3 linked regions of the Notamacropus eugenii genome follow. The protein of the gene in region 1 interacts with the protein of each later gene in a pairwise test. Links are inferred from orthologs where the notes say so. Each region holds a gene or a part of one and is shown on either strand. Other genes may lie near its edges.

Region 1 (7,732 bases):
CTGATCCTGACTATCTAAGACCCGGAGCTCCTCTAACTTTGATTCTACTTTCCATAGACTCAGAGGGTGAATCCTATTTGACTCAGTGGAAAAAAAGGAAGGGTCTGAGGGTCACAGATATTTTAAGTGGGGGCCTTGGCTTTGCACACTTAGCAATATGAAGAGTTCTTAGACTTCGGGGTCCAGAATCTACTAAAGGGAAGGTATCGCTGAGGGCAAGCGTTGGGAAAGACTGGCTCCTCCTGTGGCTACCTTCAAACAGAGAGGATGAGAAGAGGGCTGTCCTTAATTCTCTATTATCCTGGGGTGTGCAGAAGGGGACAAAAAAGGTCTGAAAGCACCCTTTATCCCAGTCACCCCAACTCAGAGCCTTCAACTTTCCTTTGAAATTTACCCTCATCCCCACTGCCCCAGGGCACCCAGCCTTCTCCGGAAGCCCAGCCCCACCCCAAGTCAGGATCTGTGGGGGAGAATAGAGGCAGCTGGCTAAATATAACACATACATAGGATACACCCCTGTCTCTACCCCCACCTCCCACCCCCCCACACTGGTCCCAGAAGCCACAATGGGACAGCTGCAAAGTAGGGAGAGTCAAACAACGTTTCAAAATCAAGAAAATAACGAGCAACCCTTGGACACAGTTCTATTAACCCCATTGTTCTTTCCAAAAAGAATAGCAGCCAAAATCTTCCCTTCCAGAAGGAACTCATTTAAGACTATTAACTAGTTCTTACATATTTCTTCTTGACTCATTCGCCTTGAACAGATCACATGGGGAAAAAATGGGTTAAATTATTTAAGCAAGGCCATGAGGAGAATTAGTGTTTTTTTTCCACACTCTACTAACTTGGGTTCTTCCTGGGCCAGTTGCGGAATAAGATTGAAGGAGGGGAAAGGGTACGATGAAATCTAACAGAAAAAGGGGGAGGTGGGAGGTGGGAAGGCACAAGAAATACTCTGGAAATTATTTCGAGAGGAACAGATTTTTGAAAAAAAACAGACTTTAGAGAAAATGGCTAAGAAAGTGCAAGATCCCAAATCCAGAGTTACTGAGGAATCTCTAAACATATTTACTGGTCTCACTAAGGAAAAGGCAGATACAAGCATTAAAATAAAAAATGCCTTAGGACTTGTGGTAAGAAGACCAATCCTCCCCAAAGTCATTTTTTTTAAGTGGGGTGGGGTGGAGGAGAGTAGGAGGGGCCCCAGGGGAGGCTGCCGATTAACAACGGTTGATTTTCAAAAAAGTCATAATCTCCAAGCATTTTAATGAGCAAAGAACAAACGTCAGAGGAAAGGGATGAACCAGATGACATAGTTGCACAAACCTGACCACAGAAAATGAAAGTGACCAGCCCAGGCATAAAGAATGACTGGGGTCTCCAGGAAGGCAAGAAAGATGGACTCGAGCCAACTCAAGATTGAACGCTCACTAAGATCAGGGGGTGCTAGGTTTGCAGGGTAAATACCCTCCCGATTTTCCTCCAAGATAGGACACAGAGCACCATAATCCAGACTGGAATCTCTAGCCACAAGCCCCTTTCTCTTTATTCCCATCCTAGAGAGGCCAAGGAATATGGAAATTCTGGGAGCTAGAACTTTTTTTGTTGCTTAGTCACTGTAAAAAAATAAATAAAGACCCAGGCAATGGGGGAGCGGGAGGGGTACGGGACCTTGCAGAGTCCTTCCAAGAAGGGCAAGAATGCCCGTGCTCACCATTGGCTGGAGGTTTCCATGCCCCCATGTACTAGGGAAAGGGGAATCAGCAGTCTTCCAAACTTCCCTACCACCCCGACAAAAGCATTGCTAGGTATGGTGCCAGGCTTGGAAGCCTATGCTTGACTAGTATACCACGTGCATGGAGACAGCCTGGGCAAGGTAGGCGTGGTGCCAATTCATGCAAGGGTAATACTTGACAGGACCCTTTCAACCACCCCAACACCTCTAGGACTTCCTGCCTGGGCAATGCTAGCTCCAGTTGGTCATTGCCCAATCTTCTCCTTGGGGCTTCAGGAGCCTGGCAAAGTCCCAACTGGACTCAGCCAGTGCTCCTCAGGCAGGGACCCAGGCACTGTGACATATGAGTCTATTGGTAGCATTCTCCGACTTGCTTTCCACCTCACCTCCAAATGCACCCAATTCTCCTAGTTCCTCTACTCAGAGGCTCTTCTGACCTGACATGTAACTGCCATTTGACTCAGCCTAACCACCTAGGAGGTTAGGAACTCTGGAACAGGCAAAATTGTTCCTTCCTAGGGTTCCTTCCACCCCTCTTACCTGAGAAGACCTCCCAGAAGGAAGGATGGATATTTTCTCTCTCCCCACCCCCAGGCTATGCCACCTGCCGCTTCCTCGCTCTGGGGAGCTACAGACACCACCACTGCCACCCCACCCTCCCAATGAATCCCCTTTCCCTGGGCCGAACGGAGCTCCTTGACACCGGGGCCCACTCACCGAGCTTTGAGCTCTTTAAACTCCTCCCGCACTTTGCTCAGCTCCAGCTGCAGACGGGCGCGCTCCTTGGCTACGGAGTCCAAGGTCTTGCGGGCGTCTCCGAGCTCGGCCTCGTAGGCGGCCTTGATGCCGGACACCTCCCGGCTCACCACCTCCTCAGACTCGGTGATCCGGAGGCGAAGGCCCGCGTTCTCCGTCTCTAGCGAACGGACCCGATCGATGTAGATAGCCAGCCGGTCGTTCAGCTCCTGCAAGTCCTCCTTTTCCTGCAGCCGCGTGATCCGAGTCGGGGACAGCGGGGTGGAGCCCGCTGGTGCCCCGCTCCGGGTGGCACGCCGCTGCGACGGGGTATCCATGGCAGGCAGGGTGGCAGCGCCCTGGGGGCAGGGGGTCCCTGAAGATTAAGGACCTGAAGACGGGGAAGGGAAGGTTTGCAGAAGTCGGGCAGCTGAGCCTCCTCTCGGAGACAGGTGCCCGCTAGGGTTCGGAGCTCGGATGGGCGACCTCCCGGAGTTCTGATCTTAGCCCTTCTTGGGTAAGTAGGCCGCCCAGTGTAGACGCGGCGCTCTTGGACACTCTGAGTCTGAGTCACCGGGCTGTGGAGCTAAGGCTCAAATAAGCCTGGGAAGAGGGGAGGGGCCACATTCTTAAAGGAACAGCAGCATGCGCACCGAATTCTTAGGCAGTAGGACCTTAGGTTGAAATGGAGGGGGGGTGTCCAGGCCCTTCATGGTGTTGTCCCCCATGCGCTCTTGTGTACATTGTAACTTTGATGGATGTCTCTATGGTCTGGAACTTGTCTGCCTGCCCAGGGCTTTACCCCTTTCCAAAAGACTAAGAACAGAAGAGTGAAAATGTGGGAGTGGGCAAAGGGTGGATCAGGAGTATCTGGAAGGAGAAATAGGGGCCAAGTAGTAAAGTTGGGGGAAAACATAGTTAAGGGGTCCCATGCAGGTGGGGGCGGGGTAGGCTGGTACCCAAAAAGTGACTCACTCCACTTCTCCCCATGGGTTCCCTTCCATAGTAACCAATGAGTCACCCTCCCCTTACCCCCTCCTGCCCACATCTGGGCAGCCCATTCTGCAACTAAGATTTGAGCAAACCAAGTGTGGGGGAAGGGATGCCTGCATTCAGTTGAGGGGCTCAAGCTCTGGATACCTGAGACATCCAAATCATCTACCCACCTTAAGGTTCTGAATTTTTCTGACCTTTATCCTTCCCTCCCACCCCCACCCCATGCCTCTCCAACCCAAACCCAGGTTGGAGAACAAGACTCAAGGGACCTGCATCCCATCCTTTCTATCTCCCCAAGGTTCATAAACAAGAACCAAGACTGTCAGATATCGGGCCCAGAAGATGGGAGGAAGAACATTCCGAGGTCCCTTCCCCCCCTTCAGCCCCTCTCCGTTTTTAACTGTAGGACTTATTTTTAACTAGTAATTCAAAACAGACGCCCAGAGCCTGTGCGTCATGTTGCCAGGACACCAGGGTCCCAGATTCCTGTGGTTCTTGGAGGGGCCAGGAGGAGGGGAGTCAAGCATTGGGCTAAGAGTCCAGATGCCTGAATCCCTATCCCCATTCTCATCAGAGAGGGGGCAGTGGATTGGAGCTGGGGGATGCAGAGGGAATGGAAGCCTGGACTGTGGAATCCCAGTCCTGACCCTGATTTTCCAGAAACTAAAAGTGAAACTCAGGTTCCCCCACTTGATAAGTCCTAAATAGGTGGCTCTGGAGCAGACTCCCTCGGGCTCTCACAAAAGCTAGGCTTGGAAGTTTCTAATCTTGTCTGGCTCAGCTATGGCAGACTTCTGCTCTTACTCAAAATCCAGGTATCTAGTTCCATTCCATTACCCATACACCCTGAGTAGTTTCCCTACCTTTATCCACCCTTATCCTCCACAGCCTCCAGGGCCAGGTATCAAGGGCCAGACTGTACACCTATTCTAATGTCCTCTCCAAATCCCCTTTCCTCCAGAAGAGCCATGAAAATTGAGCTACATTGCTCTTTTCCAGTTTCACATTCTCTAACTGTTGAAAGAAGGTGCCTAGGTTCTCAAGCTTGGGTTCTGGACCCAGGTAGCATCTGAGGAACAAATAGGACTTTGGACTGAACAAGTTGACATCAAGAAGAATGGGAAGAAACTGGGGCTTGGGTCACATGGGTCCCAATACTAGTGAGACAGAGCAAGGTGGAGAGGGTGGTTTCCTGACAGGGAAGCATAACGTTTGACTTCCATCGTTTGGATCCCATGGGCTCTCCCAATCCCTAAGACTAAAGGAACCATAAACCTGGCTCCCCACCCTAGCAATTCTCTCCCCTCCTAGGGTGTGGCACTTTACTACCACCATCAGCTTCCCCGACAAAACAAAAGCTCTGTTCTCCCTCTTCTGTTCCCCAAACCAGGAGCAGGGTTGTAGGGGGGAGAGGAAGAGAGCCAGGGAAACGTGAAGGATGGGGTTCATGCTGTTCCCAGCTGCCTCAGCCACCCTCCCCTTTGGCATCTTGCTCCCCCCCCCCAGGGCCCCAATGCCCCACCCAAACAGCCTGGCTTCCCTTTTGGGCTGGGGAAGAAAAACCACATTTAACTCTTCCCAATCTGGAGTCTCCCCCTTTGTAGAAAGAACAAAGGGGCAGGAGGCAGCAATAGAAAGAATTGAGCATCCCAAGCCTTTATCTGGGCCCAGAGTAGAGTTTTTGACTCCCCTTTTCCAAGGAATGACCCTTATGATCCTATAAATCTTCTAAATCTCAACCTCAAAGCCTTATGCTAGATACTAGATCAGAAGCCCCAAACTCAAAGCACTTACAGAAACCAGAGGATCTCATTTGCCACTTCTCTCTTTCTACCCTTCCCCAGGAGCAAATAGTCCTGAGGATGGTGCCACAGATTGGGTCCTTGGAAATCAGTATAGTGAATGGATTCAGAAGTTAGTAAGTAGCCAAAAACAGACCAAAAAGTAGAATGAATTTGTGGTGGCAAGGGAAATTTGGCTTGATGTAATAGAAAAAAAGCATGGTACTAACAGTCAAAAGACCTAGGTTCTATTCCAGTTCTAGTTTGCCTTGGGCAAGTGACTATATCATTCTGAGCCTCAGTTTTCCCATATGTAAAATGAATTCTAGAATCTTATGATTCTTATTGAAGTTCTGGAGCCACCAAGAAAGGTGCCATGCAGCGAATAACTAGCAACAAGGCTGCCAAGTTGGAGAATTTGGGGTCTGGTTGGAGAGTGCTTTAAGATAAGTCCACATCAAGAAAATTGGTGTTCATGCCCCTACTCTGCCTCTTTCTTCATGACCCTGTATTGGTCACTAAGCTTCCTGGAACCTTAATTTTCTTGTGACATGGAAAGATTCCTCAACTCAATAAGTATTCATTGCCTCTTTACTGTGTCTGGAGCTAAGAAAGCAGAAGTCTGTGCCCATTCTCAGGCTGCTAGGCTGTACACACATGGAACAAGTTTAAAGATCAGTTACCAAGCAATTTACGAACCCAAAACAGAGCAGGAAGGACAGAATAGTTAGGGTGGGGTGGGGTTAGTCTAGGCAGGCTTCTCGGTGGAGGTGGACTCAGAGCCCAAGCTTGAAGGAGGTGCTCAGCAACAATTGGTTAGATGAAAAAGAGACTCTGGAAGTGGATTGGTGGAAGTGGGAGGGGAAAGAAGGGAAGGGAATGGTTTGTGCAAAGGCTCAAAAAAGTGGAATAAGAACTTATTTGTTGTGCTGGGACCAGTCAGAAGCCTGGTCTGGTTGAAGTGAAGGGACTCATTTGGGGAGTAAGGTAAAACTGGAGAGGGGAGGGATGGGTAACTAATTGGTACAAGGGCCTGGAAGGATGAGCCAATGGGTTGGCTACAGGGCTCCACTGTGGATTCCTGAGTGAGGGTGGAATGAAATGAAAACTGTGTGAGGAAGGTTACTGTGGCATCTTGGGTGGGAAGGGTGTTGGATGAAGGTGAGAAAGCCAACTAGGAGTCAATTGCAGTAATCAAGGTGTGGGATGAAAAGAGCTGCTACAGGGCTATTGACTGAAAAAATGAGGAGGCTGGGAGCCAAGAGAAAATCATGAAGGAAGAACTAACCTTCAGCAGGGGGAAGGACTGACTGCATATGAGGCGTGAAGAGAGGAGTCTGGAAGACTCTTGTACCTTCAAACTTCAGAATGAGGGAGGGACAGACTGTGCCACTGGGGGAGGGAGGAAATAGTTACCCACTTTAGGGAAAGTGTAGAAAAGGAGTTCTGGTTTTGTGTGCTGGGTTTTGACAAGGTCCAATCTGTAAGTAAGATTGGAGAGTCAAACACAGTCAGATGATAGCTATAAGGGGGGACAAGTTCCTTGAGGGTAGGAGAAGGGTGGGAAAAGATTCAAATGCCAAGGCCTGAGCTAGGAGAGCCAGCCCTCCCCTGTCTACCCCAAGGGGTAATTCTGTGGAGTTATAGCAACAAAAGCCTCAAGAAAGCATTTGTAAACAAACAAAAACCAAGCAAACAGCTGCAATCTTCTCCACCTCTTGGCTTCCCTGAGATCTTAACTAAAATCTCACCTTTTTCCAGCAGACTTTTCCAATCCCTCTTAATTCTAGTGCCTACCTTAGTTGATGGCTTCTAATTTATCCTCTATATAGCTTGTTTGCCCATAATTATTTGCCTATCCTCTCCCACTTAGCTTCAGTTTCTTCATCTGTCAAATGAGCTGGAGAAGAAAATGGCAAACCACTCCAGTATCTTTGCCAAGAAAACCCCAAAAGGGATCGTGAGGAGTCAGACATGACTGAAAAATGACTAAATAACAATTCTCTCTGTTAGACTGTGAGGTCCTTGAGGGCAAGGACTGTCTTTGGCCTTCCTTTGTATCCCCACAGTATAGCACTGTGCCTGAAACATGGAAAGAGTTTAATAAATGTTTATTGACTGACAATCAGAATCTCAAAGATGGAAAAGACTACAGAAGCTACTTAATCTACCTACTTATCTGAACAGGAATTGCTCTGCCATAAGCCTTACCAATGGTCACCCAGCTTCTGCTTGTTGACCTCTAATAACAGGGAGTTTGCTATTTCACTAGGCAGCCCATTCCAGAATATTGCCATTACTTTTATAGGGTCCCATAGAGGAGGGCTGATGGTTCTGAGTCCCATCTCTGTGCCAAAGAAAGTTGACAAGGGACTGGTAAGCCTGGGCAAGTTCCCGCTACATCCTCTATTCAGATTGCAAAGAGAGTCTAATGCCAGACTCTGATCCCATGAGACCCTCTCTCCCAAAGCCACAAAAACCT
Region 2 (7,832 bases), about 86 Mb from region 1:
GCCGGATAGATAACCACTACCTCCCTTTGTCTCTCATGATGCAGACAAGGCCCATGCTTGTCTTCATTTTACTTAGGAGGAATCTGAAATGGAGGCCCAGAGATTCCATTAGACCGTGAACTCCTTGAGGGCAGGGGCTGTTCTTTGCCTCTTTTTGCTGGACACTTTGTAGGTGCTTAACAAATGTTTAATAACGGACTGACCCAGAGGTTAAACAGTTTGCCAAAACGATCTTCACAAAGCACTGGTCATTCCCCTACTCAGTAAACTTCGGTGGCTCCCTCCTCCCTCCTCTCTGTGCCTGGCTGTTCCATCTTCCTGGGATGTTTTTTCTCCCTCTGCTTCTTGGCTCCCTTCAAGACTCAAGTTCAAACCCTATCTTGTGCAAGTCTCCTCCGCTGCCCCCTCCCCTCGATGCGCAGTGACTTCTCTCGGAGCTCACTCCCAACTGGCCCTGCACACTGATGTGTGTCAGTGCTATGTTCTTATTTTGCACGCTGTTTCCCGATGGCAGGGGCTGTTCTTACACCATCAGTGCGTGTCACCCCGTCTATCACCTGGTAATTCAAACCCCAAGAGTGACTCACATCCTTTGCATGACTTTGTGCCTATGTGTCTGCCCCCTCCCCTACACACACACACACACACACACAGACACACACACACACAGACACACACACACACACAGATACACACAGACACACACACACACACACACACACACAGACACACACACAGACACACACACAGTCACACACACAGACACACACACACACAGACACACACACACAGACAGACACACACACACAGACACACAGACACACAGACAGACACACAGACACACAGACACACACACACACAGACACACACACAGACACACACACACACAGACACACACACACAGACAGACACACACACACAGACACACACACACACACACAGACACACAGACAGACACACAGACACACACACACACACACACACACACAGACACACACACACAGACACACACACACACACGTGCACCCCGGGTCCCCCATACCCACGCTGAGCACGGCGCCTCTCACTCAACGGAGGCTTCCCGGCCCGAGCTCCCCTGGGGCCAGGCTGCTCCCTAACTACGGTGGGTTCTCCTTTCTCCTCTTCCTTCTCAGCCACGGGCCCCCCCTTCCTCCCCGGCGGCCCCCTCCCCAGGGCCGGGAAGCTCTCCTAGAGGAATTCGCTCCGGTTCCCTGCGCCTTTTCCTCGGCTGCTCCGGCAGGAGCCCTCTGCCCTCCAGGTCCCGGCTAAGACCCCACCTCCTACAGGAGTCTGGGCTGACCCCGAACGCCGGACCCTGCGCTCCGAGGATGATCGGGGCCGGACCCCGCGCTCGTGCGCACGCTGCTGCCCCGGATAAAGCCCCGGGAATGCCCAACACAGTGCCCTGCCTCCCGCTATTGGGGGGCTGCCCCCTTTCCTTCTTCCTCGGTGGAGGGCGGGGGGCTCCGGGACCGCCCGCGTTCTCCGCCCGTCCCGCCAGCTCCCGATCCATTTCCTCCCGCACCTTAGGGTGTCCCAGCCACGAGCCCGTCCCTCGCGAGGGGGCGCGAGGAGAGGACCCCCCGCGGGGCGCGGAGCCGTGGCCGCCCGAGGCGGGAAACCTCGCGCTCTCCGGGGCGCGCGCGCCTCCCCAGCCCGTTACCTCGGCGGCGGCCACCGCCTCCGCCGCCCTCACCTTCCGAGGGCTGCAGGTCTCGCAGCCCTCTCCTCGTGGTGGCCGGCGAGGGCTGCGGCGGCGGCGGAGCCTCCTGCTGCTGGAGCCGGGTCGTTCTCCTCGTATTCATCTCTCCGAGTCCCAAGCCCGAGAGCAGAGAAGGCGGCCGAGGTCTAAGGTAATAGTAGGCTCTTCTCTCCTCCACTTCCTCTTTCCCGGGCACGGGGCGGAACTCTTGTGCCTGGGTCCGCTTTTCCACCCGGGCACTTCCCCCGGACGCGAGCGGCTCGAAGTCGCCGTACACTTGGGGCGGGAGCTCGGAGAACCTCACTTCCCGTCGGCCCCTGCGCCGAGCCATGGGGCTTCCGTCCGCGAGCGCGTCTCTTCCGCCGCCATCTTGAGGGCCGAGCGGGCGCCTCCCTTGTCGTAGCGGGGCCCTGGGTGTGACGTGCGCTGCCCATCCCTCGCCTGCCATGGTTCGCGGGCCTAGGATGGCCGGCCGGGTCCCTCTCCGGAGCGGCGGCGGGGGCTTGGCGCCCGTCAGGGAGGCAGCTGGGAGTCGTCGGGGCCGCGGCCGCCGCCGCTCTTGTTGCTGTTGCCGCCGCGGTGTGCGGGCTCCTCTGGGCCCATGGTAGCTCCCGAAGGTTGTGAGGCAGGCAGTGCCCGGCTCGGTCAGCTGCCGCTGGGTGTGTGTGTGTGTCACCCCCGCCCTCCTGGCTGCAGGCCCGCCAGAGGAGGAGAAGGGAGAGCCTGGCCCTCCTGCGCCGGGGGGCGGGGAGGGAGGCTCGAGGAGCCGGCCATCCCGGGCTCTCTGGCGAGCGTCACGGGGTGGGCCCGGCCGCCCGCCCGGGGCCCTCCCCGCCGGGAGGCCGTGATCCGGGGAGCCCGAGACAGCGCGGCCCGCGCTTCCTCCACCATTTTGTCGCATCTGTAGCCCAAGCGCCCGCGCCGACCGTGACCCCGTCCGCCCGAGCCGGCTCCGTCACCCCTTTCCTGACTCTGGTGAAAGGTTCAAGGGTCGGTCGGAGACCTTGACAGTTCCCGGGGTAGATGTTGCGGGGACTCATTTTTGTCTTCGCTCTCTGAAATGATCCCCCCTTCCCTCCCTCTCTCACTCGTACATCAGGAGTGGGAGCGGGAGAAAAAAAAAGCCTTGTTAATTGAAAAAGTAAAATAAAAAACTTGTGAAGTCACGGTGAAATGTTAGTCACTTAGTGAAAGCAAAAGCCACTCGGTTTTGATGGGAAAATCTCTGCCCGAAGAACGACCTAGTCGTTTTCCAAAAGCAACATTTGAGTAACGAAAGAAATGAAAAGAAAGTTTGTCCGTCAACCGTATGCTAAAATGATTCTGACGCTTACAGAATTTACCAGCGGATTACGGGCAGGAAACGTTTGCAAATCGGGGTGCTTGGTGCAGCTGATGGAAGGCTGCTTGTTCCGCTGCTTTCATGTAGTCCTGCCGGCGCCTCCGTTCCTCACCTTAAAATTAAGAAATTGTTTACATTCCTTGGAGCTCTTCCATAGATGAGCCTTTTAGAAACTGACATTCCTCCAACTGAAATTGACGAGTGTTTTCCACTTCATTAGCGACTTGGTAAATTACATGTATTTTTTTTTTAAATCTGCGGCATAAATTTGTTGTAGATTTCATCGTACAATCCCCAAGTTTAGTTTACTCTCAATCCAGCACTTGTTAAGTACCCGATCTGTGCCAGAGACTAGAATACAAAATGTTAAAAACTAGGTAGAAACAAGATAGTAGTAAACAATCCACATTAGAGGATACTCGTATTTAACAACCAATCTGAAGTACTGGAGTGCGGTAGTCATAATTGGTGAAAAGCCTTTTGTCTTTAAAAAAAAAATTCTATTTTAAGGATACAGTAACTAGCTTTAGTCTAATAATCATATCTCTTTGAGTCCAGGGAATATGATTTAGTGAATAAATAAAAAAGGATTGATGTTTAGGGTATCAGTTTTTATATAGGTGACAACTTGAGTATGCTTTGAAATTAGTTTAAGGAATTTAAAGTTATTAGGATCTCGTTTAAACTACTCTCGGTAAAAAAAACTTCATTATCTCAACTTTGTCCAAATGATCATAAATAAAGAATTAGTACATACAGTCTTGCCTTTCTGTGGTTTTTAATTATAAATAAAATATAGACCCTTGTTATAGCATTGGCTAAGGATACTTTTTGTATCAGGTAACATAATACAGGGACATAATAGTGCTTTTAGAAATCAGTAACTCATTTTTTACATATATGATATGAACACTGGTCTCCAGTAAAATCAGAACGTGAAAGATAAAAAAAGGAAGAACACTAAGAAAAATAGCTCTTTGTTGCTTTTTATTGCATTCAGGGAAGGGAAAATGAAAGTGGTCTATTTGAGCCTAAGGGATACGTACATGAGACCACAAGTTTTTTACTGCTTTTAAAGTTATTTAAAAGTATAAAGTAACTAGCATTTAGTATTTTAGAAAACTTCTAAAAAGAGTATATTATTAACATAGTCAACTGTAAAATTATTAAATTATACTGTCTACAATAAATCAAATGCTATATATACTGAATAGACATTGTCAAAGGATCCCTCAAGGGCCTCATTTTTTAACAGTAGATTAATATAAGCAAAAATAATAAGACACATCAAAAACTTACCTTTGGGCTCTTTTTGTTGTGGAAGGTATTTCTTTAATTTCTTGTGTGTGTGGTCTAGAAAGGAAGGGGTTCATCTACTATTATACTTACTGATGCGTTGCCAAAAATAGCTCGAGTGGTTTCCCCAAAGAAATCTTTTAAAAAAGAAAGAGCATAGACAATTTTAGACAGAAGTTTGCTTGTTTGTGGCCTTGGTCTACCTGGGAGGACTACTTATATCCTGGCCCCTCCTCTGTTTGTGAGGTGACAGCAGAAGCTGCAGATGCCTAACAACATGTGTGTTTCACCCAGCAACCCCTTAAACCTTAACCTAGAGAAAAGTTTTAATGTCAGAGCTGTCCAACAGAGAAGTTGTTTGTCTTCAGGAATGTCATCCCTATTGGGAAGATACATTTAGAGCTGGAAAGGACTTCAGAGGCCATCTAGTCCAACCCCTTATTTTACAGATAGGGAAACAGATCCAGAGAGATCAAGTGACTTGAAGGTTTACAGGTAATCAGGGGTGAGATTTGAGCCACTAAGCCTCTGATTCCAGGGCCAATGTAATTTGTGTACCCTACCGGAGAATTTATCTCTTAGGTTTGTAGAAGGGATTCCTTCCTGTCAGATTAGCTTAAGACCAGCATAAACTTTTGTCATTTCAGTTACCAATCTCTGAAAATTACTATAACAACCCCTAATAAGGGTTTGGCTAGAATTTGTAATTCTCCATTGGGAAAGACTGCAACCCCAGTTTCTTCTTAAACTGGGGAGAACTACAGATCCCAGTGGCTTTTGTGACCAGTCAATCCAGGAGTGGTTTGATTACAATTTTAAAATATTTCTTAGTAAAGTGCCTAGAATGTCATGAAGAAAAATTTCATCTTTTAAAGCACTGAACTAAATTTCATTCTGAACTTCCCTTTTTACTGTGGAGGGGCACTACCCTGTCCCCAGTCATTCAAATTCAAAACCTTGTTGTCCTGGCCATTTGCTATTCCTCACTCTTGTCCCTCATATTCAGTCTGTTGTCAAATCTTGTCATTTCTAGCTCTGTGACATCTCTCATACATCCCATTCTCTCTACTCATACAGCCAGTACTCCAGTTCATACTCTGTCCTATCTCCACTCCACTACTGGAGTAGTTTTTTTCTAAATTAAAGACCTAACTGACATTGAGTTCTGTGGCTCCCTATTCCAAGATCAAATTAAAGACTTTGGTTTGACTTTTAAAGCTCTTCGTGATTTGTCCTCTTCCCCTTTGAAATCTTACACTTTACTTGATTCTACACACAATGTGATCTAGATACAGTGACCTTGCAGTTCTGTGGTCGTGATGTTCCATCTCTTGTTACCATGCCTGGCACTCATTCCCCTATCTTAGAGATGGATACTATTAAGACACAAACAGGGGTGTGAGTGTGTGTGTGTGTGTGTGTATAATATGTAGATTATATATCTATCTGTTCTTTCTTTGGATGTAGATAGTGTCTTCATATGTCCTTTATTTTTTAATTTTTGGATTTATAACAGTGAAAGGGACTTAGTCTTTTGAAGTCATTCTTAAAACAATATTGCCGTTACTGTCCACAATGTTCTCTTGGTTCTGCTTATTTCACTTTTCATCGTTTCATACAGGTATTTCCATGCTTTCTAAGATCATTGAGCTCATCATTTCTTATAGTATTCCACTGCAACCATATATCACAATTTGTCCAGCCATTCTCCAATAGATGGACATCCCCTCAATTTCCAGTCTTTGACACTGCAAAGAGAACTTCTATAAACATTCCATTCACATTCAAAGTTATAATTAGTTTATGAATTTCTCTCCATCTTATTTTTACTCAGTTTTGTTTCTTAGCCTCTCTTTTTACCCTATCCCTGTCACCTTATCTTCTCTCCCTCTCAAGTCCCTCTCCTACTTCATCCACCCCTCCAAGAGTCTCTTCATCTCTCACAATCTCAATCAGTACATTCCTCTAAAAGTCCCTCCCCTAGTTTTCTCATTTTTGCATGCTCAGAAGACTTCTACACTCTCCTGGAATATTCTTTCCTATCATCTCTGCCTCTTAGTTTTTTTGACTTCCTTCAAGATTGAGTTCAAAGCCCACCTTCTGTGGAAGGCTTTTCTCTGACTCATCTCTGCCCCCACTCCCAGATGTGAATGGCTTCCCCCATTGATGCCATATGCTCTATATAGATTATGTATGTAGTTAGTTATTTGTTACTATCTCCCCATTAGACTGTAAGTTCCTGGAGGGAAAGGGAGATTTCCCCCCCATTCTTTGCATACCCAGTGCCAAGCACAGTGGAGGGGGGCACAAAATATACACTTAAATGCTTATTGGTTGACTGATACTAAGTACTTTTAACAGTGGAGACTGACTGGTGATGCAGTATCTTCTGAAGGAATGGGGATCCAGGTTTCTGTTAAGTCCAAGAAATTGTAAAGACTAAGAGGAAGCCATCTAAGAGGAAGAGGAATTTATCAACAACAGAGCAGGATTCCAGAGGGCACAAGGAAAGGGGAAGACAGAGTAACAGAATTGCAGAGGTGTATGGTTGAGGTTGATGGGAATGAGAATAGAGAATGCTATAGCAAGGGAAGATTTTCAACTTGGCAGATGATGACTGAATCACAAACATGCTTAGGTCTCTCCAATAATTAAAACAATAATTACAATCACATTTACATAGCTCCTTAAAGTTTACAAAGCACTACCAAAATAAAGTGCAAATGAGTACATGATTTAGGTATAAAGGCTGATACTATAAACAAATTAGGGGAGCAAGGAAGAGTTCATCTGTTAGATTTATGGTGAATGGAGGAATTTATGACCAAACAAGAGATAGAGAACATTATGAAATGCAAAATGAATAATTTTGATTACATTAAATTGAAAAGTTTCTGCACAAACAAAGCCAATGCAACCAAGGTTAAGAGGGAAGCAGAAAATTGGGAAAGAATTTTTACAATTAATATCTTTCATAAAGGCTTCATTTCTAAAATATATAGAGAACTGAGTCAAATTTACAAGAATACAAGTCATTTTCCAAATGATAAATGGTCACAGGATATGAATAGGTAGTTTTCAGAGGAAGAAATTAGAACTATAGTCGTAAGAAAAAATGCTATAAATCAGCATTGATCATATATTGGCTCTGACCACACTTGAACAATTAATATTTCTTCAGTTACTTAAATCTGAACTTTATTTGCATAAAAATGTTTTATAATCATGTTCATATAGTTTCTGGGTTTCTCTTGGCAGCTGTAATCTCAGGTATTTTATTCTTTCCATGATTGTTTTAAATAGGGTATCTCTTACATCTCTTGTTGCAGGTTTGAACTTTTAAGTGAAGGATGAACTGCGCTGCTAGTCTTAGCCTTGTGCTTCTTTTTAAATTTCAGGGTAGTTAATCCTTTATTTATGTATTTTACATGAATAACATGATATGCTTTACTGAATACTTTATTACAATTA
Region 3 (8,007 bases), about 300 Mb from region 1:
CCTTGAGCAGCACCTTAGATGCAATAAGCACTAAATGTTTGTCGAAGTGAAATGGATGAGAAACCTGAAGACTTTTACAAGTTCTTACTGCATACCATGCTTATTGCAGGTAAACGAAATGCTGTCAGATACCTTTAGTGTCCACACAATGGCTAGGGAAAGAAAGGAAAAGAAAGACCAGCTCCAAACTAGGGAAACTGGTGGGGAAGCTGGGACCTCTTTAAGATGCATTCCCTTCCTTCCCACCTTTAACTTCTCAGCCATTCCCTTGCTAAGGAAAGATAAAATTGGTTGACTTCTTTTAGGCAAGTGTCATTCCCCTTCAACATGGATTCCAATTTCCCCTATATCAAGCATGAATATAGCTAAAGTCTGCCACTAGGTAGAGAGTTCCCCATACTATGTGATTTGAGAGGCACAGGGAGGCTCTTTTTGCCCCAAATTAATCACCTGCATCCTGAATATTACATTTTTTTAAAAACTAGGTAAAGTTCTTTTCTTTTAGGGATGAGAGACAGTATAACATAGTGGTTAAAGAGATAACATCAAAACTAGCTATTGGGAGTCACTGACCCAGCAGATGAAGTTCATGTTCAAGGCCTTCCACAATCTGGCCTGAGGTCATCTATCTACCCATATGTCCTACCTTTATACTTACAATCCAAACAAATCATTCTATTTCCTACTCTCTGAATACACTGTACTCCTCAAGAGAATGATCCCTCTACACCTAACTTCAAGACCTTAAGAAAGTTCCTCTTTCTCTAGCCCTGACTACTCCAGACTCACTGAACATGTTCTTTTGAATTTCTTCAGTACAAATTGTCTATACTAATTGGCACTGATCATATGGTCACCTTGGCCTGTTAATTTTCACATGTTATGTTTCATCTTTGAAATTAGATTGTAAAATCCTCAATTCATTTCCATAAAAGGCATTGTTCTGGGCACTAGAGATATAAAAGAAAAAAGATAATATTACTGCTCTCTAGGACTTTACAGTCACAGTTCAATACTTATATCTTCCATGGTGCTAAGCAAAGAGCAGGCATTAAACAATGAATGAATGATTTAATGAATGAAATGAAAGTGGAGATAAAGATCAAAAAGATGTGCTATCATCCATCAATACCCTGGGAGAGGCAATAAAACAAGAAAAGAGACGCAGGGATGGCGCTAGATGAGAAGCTGTGAGACCTGGCTTCTACACCCAGCTCAGCAGCTCAAGAGCTATACCTGTAAAAGAGATTGATTTCTAAGATGCCTTCCAGCTCTAGGACTTAATGGGTTATTGTCTTGGTAATAATGTAAGAAATACCATTTCTGGGTCACTGCCACTAATCATATGAGACAGAGCACAGAGTAAAGGAATAGTGTAGCATGGTCCTAGGAGAAGTACTGGTAAGCAAGAAACTTCTCCCACGCCACCCTCTTCTCACTACTGCTTCCCTGTCTCATTTCTCCAGTGGTAACTGTTCTGAATACCCTCATTTAACAATTTCAGGGGCAGTCCACAAACAGGACCTTGGCCTTTCATGGCTGCTGAATTTCTACACTGAAACAACAAGAACCCCATCCCTGTCTGTTTCACATCTTTTCTCCATAATAACTGTATTTACTTCTAAACTAAAAAGCAGAGGCAGCAAATAGTGCTACCCAGTTTAGAAAGAAAACCATGGACAGGGAAGTTCAAGTCAGCAGTTTGGCACAATTATAAGCAGTATATATTTTGGATGCACCAAAGTGTATGAACACCTTTTGGTGGGTGATACTTAATGGACTGCAGATACGCACCCTTGTTGGCCCACAAAAAACCAAAAACAAACAAACAATTCCACACATCTCCCTCTTCCCACCTGTTGCTCTGGTTCATCCAGCTCTCTCTCCAAATCCTCCAGCACAGTCACTGCCTCCTCTCCACTCTGTGGATGATGGTCCCGCACCCAGGTCTGAAGCTCCTCAGGCAGGATGGTTAGAAATTGGTCCAGTACCAGAAGCTCCAAGATCTGTTCCTTCGAGTTTATCTCTGGTCTTAGCCATTGGTGACAGAGCTCCCGGAGTCTGCTCAGAGCCTCTCGAGGCCCAGAGGCCTCTTGGTAGCAAAACTGCCGGAAGCACTGCCGGGAACACTCTCTGGTTTTGAGATGCTTATTCGGCTGGGTGGAATCTTGCCTGAAATTGTAACCCTCATCCTCAGTTTTCACTTTCAAAATTCTCTCGCAGTCTTGTGGAGTCTCAGTGTTCCAGGAGGCTGCCATCCCAGGCCTGAAGAGCACTGAAGGCCACTCTAGGTAGTTACAATGTTTCTGCTTATTTATTCACTTATGAGTACGGATACAAACACTGCCAAGAAATTTAAACATTAACTAATGAACATCAATTCACTGAAGATAAGGAAATTCTAAAAATATGAAATAATTATGAATAAAAGATTTTTAAAAGGAAAGGAATTCTTTTTAAAGAATAAAAATTAAAAAAAAAAGAATAATGAGAAAAGAAGGATGGGAGTGAAATTACAAGGCGGGGGAGAGGGGGAATCAGGGGAGGGTCCCCTTAATTGGGAATTCCCTTAATTCATTTAACTTCCCTCATTGGGTATTTGTACAGGATTATCCCTCCACAATCCCTTTCAGGAGCGATCAGAGGAGCCCCCTGACCGGGGGTGCCCCAGATCTCCGGGCGCAGCGCAGGGCTTGGCTTGGCAGCTGAGAGGGACCCGCAAACCGGTGCACTACCCAGCTGGGAGGGAGGAGGCTGGTGCGCCCGCCCTCCAGGGCGCTTTGGGAAAGTGCAGCCCTGCTGACGTTCAAAGGCGCGGTGGGCGGGCGACACTGAACCAGTAAGATGCCCCCACACCCACGCCAGGTTAACCACAAAGACCGGAAATGTATCAGCGAGTCTCCGCGGGTTTGGGGGAAACCGGAGAGTAGAAAGCACCCCAGCCAGGCCCCTCCCGTACACTTCCGGGTTCTCTCTAGGAATTGGAGGGGATCCTATGATTCTTTAAAATAAATAAATGGAATTTTCAATGATAAATTTGTGACAATAGCTAACAAACCCAGTACTCAAACAAAAGCAAACAACAATAAAAACGCAAATGTCTATCCTTCAATTTATCCCAGGCAAGTTATCCAACAAAGTATTGTCAAACTCACCAGCACCACTTCTTAGGAAAGGAATGAGGAGGGAGAAAACAACGCTATTTCCCCAAGCAAGACACTATCACAGCTACGATTTGGGGAGAAAAACGGAATAGCAGCACCCAGAAGTTCAAAAGAGACAAAATCCAAGAAAGGAGCTAGTAACGAAGTCAATTGGCAGGCTTTGAAATTTGTTTTAGCTCCTCAATCATTTTGACCAATATATATTCTCTGTCCACTACCTGTCTTCATTATCAGATTGTTAAATTGGGCCTTATTTCTTTGATTGGAGCAAAATATGGAAAGAACTTAATTAAATTTGATAGTAGTATAAGATACTGGAGATCATCATGAGTAAGATATTTAATGTGAAAATGTGAACTATTACTCTGGTCTCAGAGTGAAGCTGGCTACATTTCTTCAGGGTTCTGGAGGGGTTAAGAGGTTTTTCTCTAATGTTATTGGCTCAAGGCCCTCACTGTTAGCTGCCATAGATATTATGAACTGATATCAACAACTTTTTTTAAAGGGATATTTGTTTAGAACATAGAGTAAGAACAGAAAAACATTTTGCTCCTCTACATACACTTCTGGAGCATACTGTCCTCCATATTGACTTGGTTCTAGGGGAGAGTAAGCTCAAACTCAATGCATTTTCTCCGTAGAATTATTCTTATCAAGTTTACATCCAAATGCTATATCACTGCTGGATGAATTGTTGTCTCAGTTACCACTAGGCTAGGTTTGGAAGACCAACTCTTTGCTCTTCAGGGCTGAAAGGTGGACATACTGCAGCATGGATCTTGGACTTCCTGGTAGTTTTTTTTCTTGATCTTTCAAAACTTACAAAGATGTGGTCTCTAATCTCCTTCACCTAAAACTAAAGAGTAAACACCATACTCCTGGTCCACATATGTCAAACCTAGAGCGGGAGGGCCTCTCTCTTATAGAATTATACCTCTTATCCCTCCAGAAGACCATCAAGCAGATAGACCAAAGAGAAACAGGTTCTGGTCAACTGGTGCCTTTTGAATGCACCTCAGTTCTGGCTATCCAGACAATGAAGGGAGCTCCTCATCACTACCTGGTGAGTGGACTGGAACCAGTTGCAAAATGTTTCCACTGGCTCAAAGGTCCACATAGGGATTACATCAACAGTGTGGAATGTTTGTCCTTGTTTAAAAGATCTATAGATCATTAGCCATTCCCTTGTTACATAAGTTTGGGTTATAAGATGTTTTAAACAGGCAAAGAGCAGTCATTTTATCATAAAGTTCTTAAAATGAAAAAGTAAATAGTTAATAACTTTTGTTATAAAACCTTGACTAGAAAATACTTCATAGCGTCCTCTTTGCTTAGTTTAGTCCTTAAAGTTTGATGTTTTTCTTAATGCCTCATCTTTTTGGTTGTTAGACATTTGTAACTTAGTTAATATTACAATTTGTTTAAAAAATTAACCTACGTAGCACAGATGATAAGCAAGATCCTAATGAAAAGTCAAATTTAATTTCATAGATGGCACTAAGACTTAGTAGGATGAGACCCTTACCTGGAATGTAATTGGAAGCATATAATTTATTCAAAAGAAGAGGATAAGTAAAAGGGGAGGCTTTAGGAACAGTTCAGTTAAATTTTTAAAACTTTTATTAATTACCAAGAGTGTGTGAGGCACTACAAAAAAATCAAGTTTGGTTAAGAACAGACTTCCAATGAAGCTTAGATAGTTCAGGGATGCATCACTTTGGAGTACGGCCATTGCACCAAAGAGCATAGACGTTTTCGCATCTCAGCAGATGTCTTAATGATTTTGATGTGGCCAACCAGGGACCACACCCCCGCCCCAACATACAATTTGTGAAAAGTCTCAATGTAGAATGCTCCTCAAATGACAGTTGATTACATGGTCCATTGCTATGGACCTGAAGCCTTCCTTACTGGAGTCAGGATCTCATCATTCAAACCTTTGAAAACCCCCAGAATCATCTTCATACTGTGACAAAACATCTGAGTAAGAATTTAGTAAAGGGGCCTAAAAAGTTTACAGTTATATTCTATCTTTTATTCTGGCTTGCCCTTGAAAAACATGAAGCAAACACTTATATAAACTGAGGAAAGAAGAACCATATTGTAATCAAGGTAGTTGGCACCCCACAATAGATCCTAGATGAGCCCCAACAGTGTAGAGCCCATGAGGCATGGCCACCCCTGGGTTGGCTCACTCACCCAAACCTGCCTTCACCCTGACACTTAATAATGCTGTAATAGTAACTCATATTTCTATAGAACCTACTACATGCTAGGCACATTAAAAATTTTATCTCATTTGGTCCTCACAACAATGCAAGGAAGTAGATGCTATTATTATCCCTATTTTACAACTGAGGAAACTGAGGCAAACAGAGGTTGAGTGACTTCAAGATAACTAGTAACTGTCTGAAGCTAGATTTGAATTCAGGTCTTTTTGATTCCAGGCCCCATACTCAACTGTGCCAATTAGTTCCTAGAGAAGAAACACCATCAATCAATCAATAAACAGCTATTAAGAATCTGCTACAGTATGTGCCAGGCACTGTGCTAAGCACTGAGAATACAAAAAGAAGCAAAAGACAGTCCTTGACCTAAAGGAACTTACAATCTAGCAGGAGAAACAACCTGCAAACATACATATGTATGTATATATGTGTATATATGTGTGTATGTGTGTGTATGTGTGTGTATATATATATATACATACATATATATGCATGTATGTATATATGTATATATATATCTCAAGCTATATACAGGATAAATAAGAAATAATTAATAGAGGAAAGGCACTGGAATGAAGAGGTCTTGGGGAAGACTTCTTATAGAAGATGGTATTTTAGTTGGTACATAAAGGAAGCCAGGGAGGTCAGTAGTTGGAGCAGAAGAGTGAGAATATTCTAGGCATAAGGGACAGTCAGACAGAATGCCTAGAGCTGAAAGGTGGAGTAAAAAATACTCAAACAATCAAAAGGCCAGTGCCACTGGAGTATTCTGCAAGAAAACTTGAAAAGGAAAGATAGGAGGGGGTTAAGTTATAAAGGGCTTTGAATGCCAAACAGATAATTTTGTATTTGATCCTGACAGTAATGACTGGAATTTACTGAGGAGAAGGGTGACATGGTCAGACCTGCACTACTTTGGCAGCTGAATGGAGACTTGAGGCAAGCAGATCCACCAGCGGACAATTATGATAATCCAGGGTTTCTTAGGCTTTTTCCACTCACAGCCCCTTCATTGCTTCTTAAACTGTGGGTCTCAACCCCATAAGGGGTCACAATTAGTCCAGGTGTGAGTTGATGATGGCCTGCCCTAGAAAGGTGACAGTGTCAGAGGAGAGAAAGGGGCATATATGAGAGATGTTGCAAAGGTAAAATCAACAGATATTAGCAATAAGTTGGAAATGGGAAGTGAGAGACAGTGAAGAATTCAGGATGATTTCAGGTTGTGACCCTGAGAGACTGGGTCTTCTCTGTAGTAATAGAAAAGGTAGGAGTGGGGAAGGTCTAAGGAGGGAAGATAATGAGTTCCATTTGGGACATACAGAGCTTAGGATGTGTGCTGGACATCCAGTTTGAGATGTCTGAAAGGAAGTTGAAGGACAAAGACTGGAGTTCAACAGAGAGACTGGGACAGGATAGGTAAATTTGAAAAATCATCAACATAGAGATAGTAATTAAATCCTTGGGGGCTGATGAGGTCACCACTGAAGGAGCATAGAGTGAGGAGAGAAGAGGACACAGGACACAACCCTGAGGTATACTTAAGATTAAAAGGCATGATCTGGAGGAACATCCAGCAAAGGGCATGGAACAGGAGTGGTCAGCTATGTAGGAGGAAAACCAAGAGAGAATGGTATCCCAAAAGCCTAGATAAAAAGGAGTATCAAGGAGGACAGAGTGATGAACAGTGTCTAAAGCCACAGAGAGGTTCAGGAGAATGAGAACAGAGAAAAGTCTATTGGATGTGGCAACTAAGAGATAATTAGTAACTTTGGAGAGGGCAGTTTCAGTGGAATGATAGGTTCAGAAGCTAGATTGTAAGGGGTTAAGAAGAAAGTGGGAAGCAAAAAAGTGGAGACACCTCTTGTGGATGGCTTTTTCCAGCAGGGTTGGAAGGATCAAGTAAAGGATTTTTCAGGATAGGAGAGATACAGGCATGTTTGTAGGCAATAGGAAAATGAGCCAAAAGACAGGAAGAGATTGAAAATAAGTGAAAGAGTAGGGATTATAGAAGGAGCAATATATTGGAAAAGATGGGATGAAATGGGGTTGCTTGAACAAGCAGAAGGATTAGCCTTGAAAAGGAGTAAATTCATGTCATCATGTGGAATGGGGCCGAAGGAAGAGAGAATGTCAGAACATACTTGAATGATAGATGAGGAAGAGGGGAGAAAAGAGAGTTTATGGCAAATGGCCTCAATTTTTTTTCTGCAAAATGAAACAAGTTCTCACCTGAGGGAGTGGAGGGAGAGGGAGGTATAGGAGGTTTGAGGAGGGATGAAAAGTTTGGGAAGAGGATGGTGAGAGAGGGATAGTGAGTTGATTAGAGGGATATAGTAAGATTGCCTAGTAGCAATGAAGGCCCAGTTGAGGTTATTTAACATAAATCTGTAGTGGACCCAGTCAGAGGTACAAAATATTACCTAAGAAAAATAATAAAGTAAAGCCAAAAGACTGGAAAATAGAAGAAAATGTGAAATATCTCATACAAAACAAAAACAAAACTGATCTGGAAAACAGATTGAACAGAGATAATTTAAGAATTAATGGCCTAAGGGCAACTATGTAGTGCAGTGGCTAGAGCATTGACCCTGGAATCAGGAATACCTGAGTTCAAA

What was found.
Region 2: the proteins of LMNA (region 1) and TOR1AIP1 interact in a two-hybrid assay, tested with the Homo sapiens proteins (2 studies listed by BioGRID). The link is inferred for Notamacropus eugenii from reciprocal best matches to the Homo sapiens genes LMNA and TOR1AIP1.
Region 3: the proteins of LMNA (region 1) and ZSCAN12 interact in binary tests that used the Homo sapiens proteins (3 or more experiments, as listed by UniProt). The link is inferred for Notamacropus eugenii from reciprocal best matches to the Homo sapiens genes LMNA and ZSCAN12.

Annotation. Positions count from the first base shown.
Region 1 is NC_092873.1:380,196,513-380,204,244, reverse strand, and holds the start of LMNA (lamin), read right to left. Parts: upstream 3,075-7,732; 5' UTR 2,812-3,074; coding exon 2,456-2,811; intron 1-2,455.
Region 2 is NC_092873.1:465,742,126-465,749,957, forward strand, and holds the start of TOR1AIP1 (torsin-1A-interacting protein 1), read right to left. Parts: upstream 3,010-7,832; 5' UTR 2,625-3,009; coding exon 1,685-2,624; intron 1-1,684. UniProt on the Homo sapiens protein: Required for nuclear membrane integrity. Induces TOR1A and TOR1B ATPase activity and is required for their location on the nuclear membrane. Binds to A- and B-type lamins. Possible role in membrane attachment and assembly of the nuclear lamina.
Region 3 is NC_092873.1:76,710,597-76,718,603, forward strand, and holds the start of ZSCAN12 (zinc finger and SCAN domain-containing protein 12), read right to left. Parts: upstream 3,010-8,007; 5' UTR 2,259-3,009; coding exon 1,857-2,258; intron 1-1,856. UniProt on the Homo sapiens protein: May be involved in transcriptional regulation.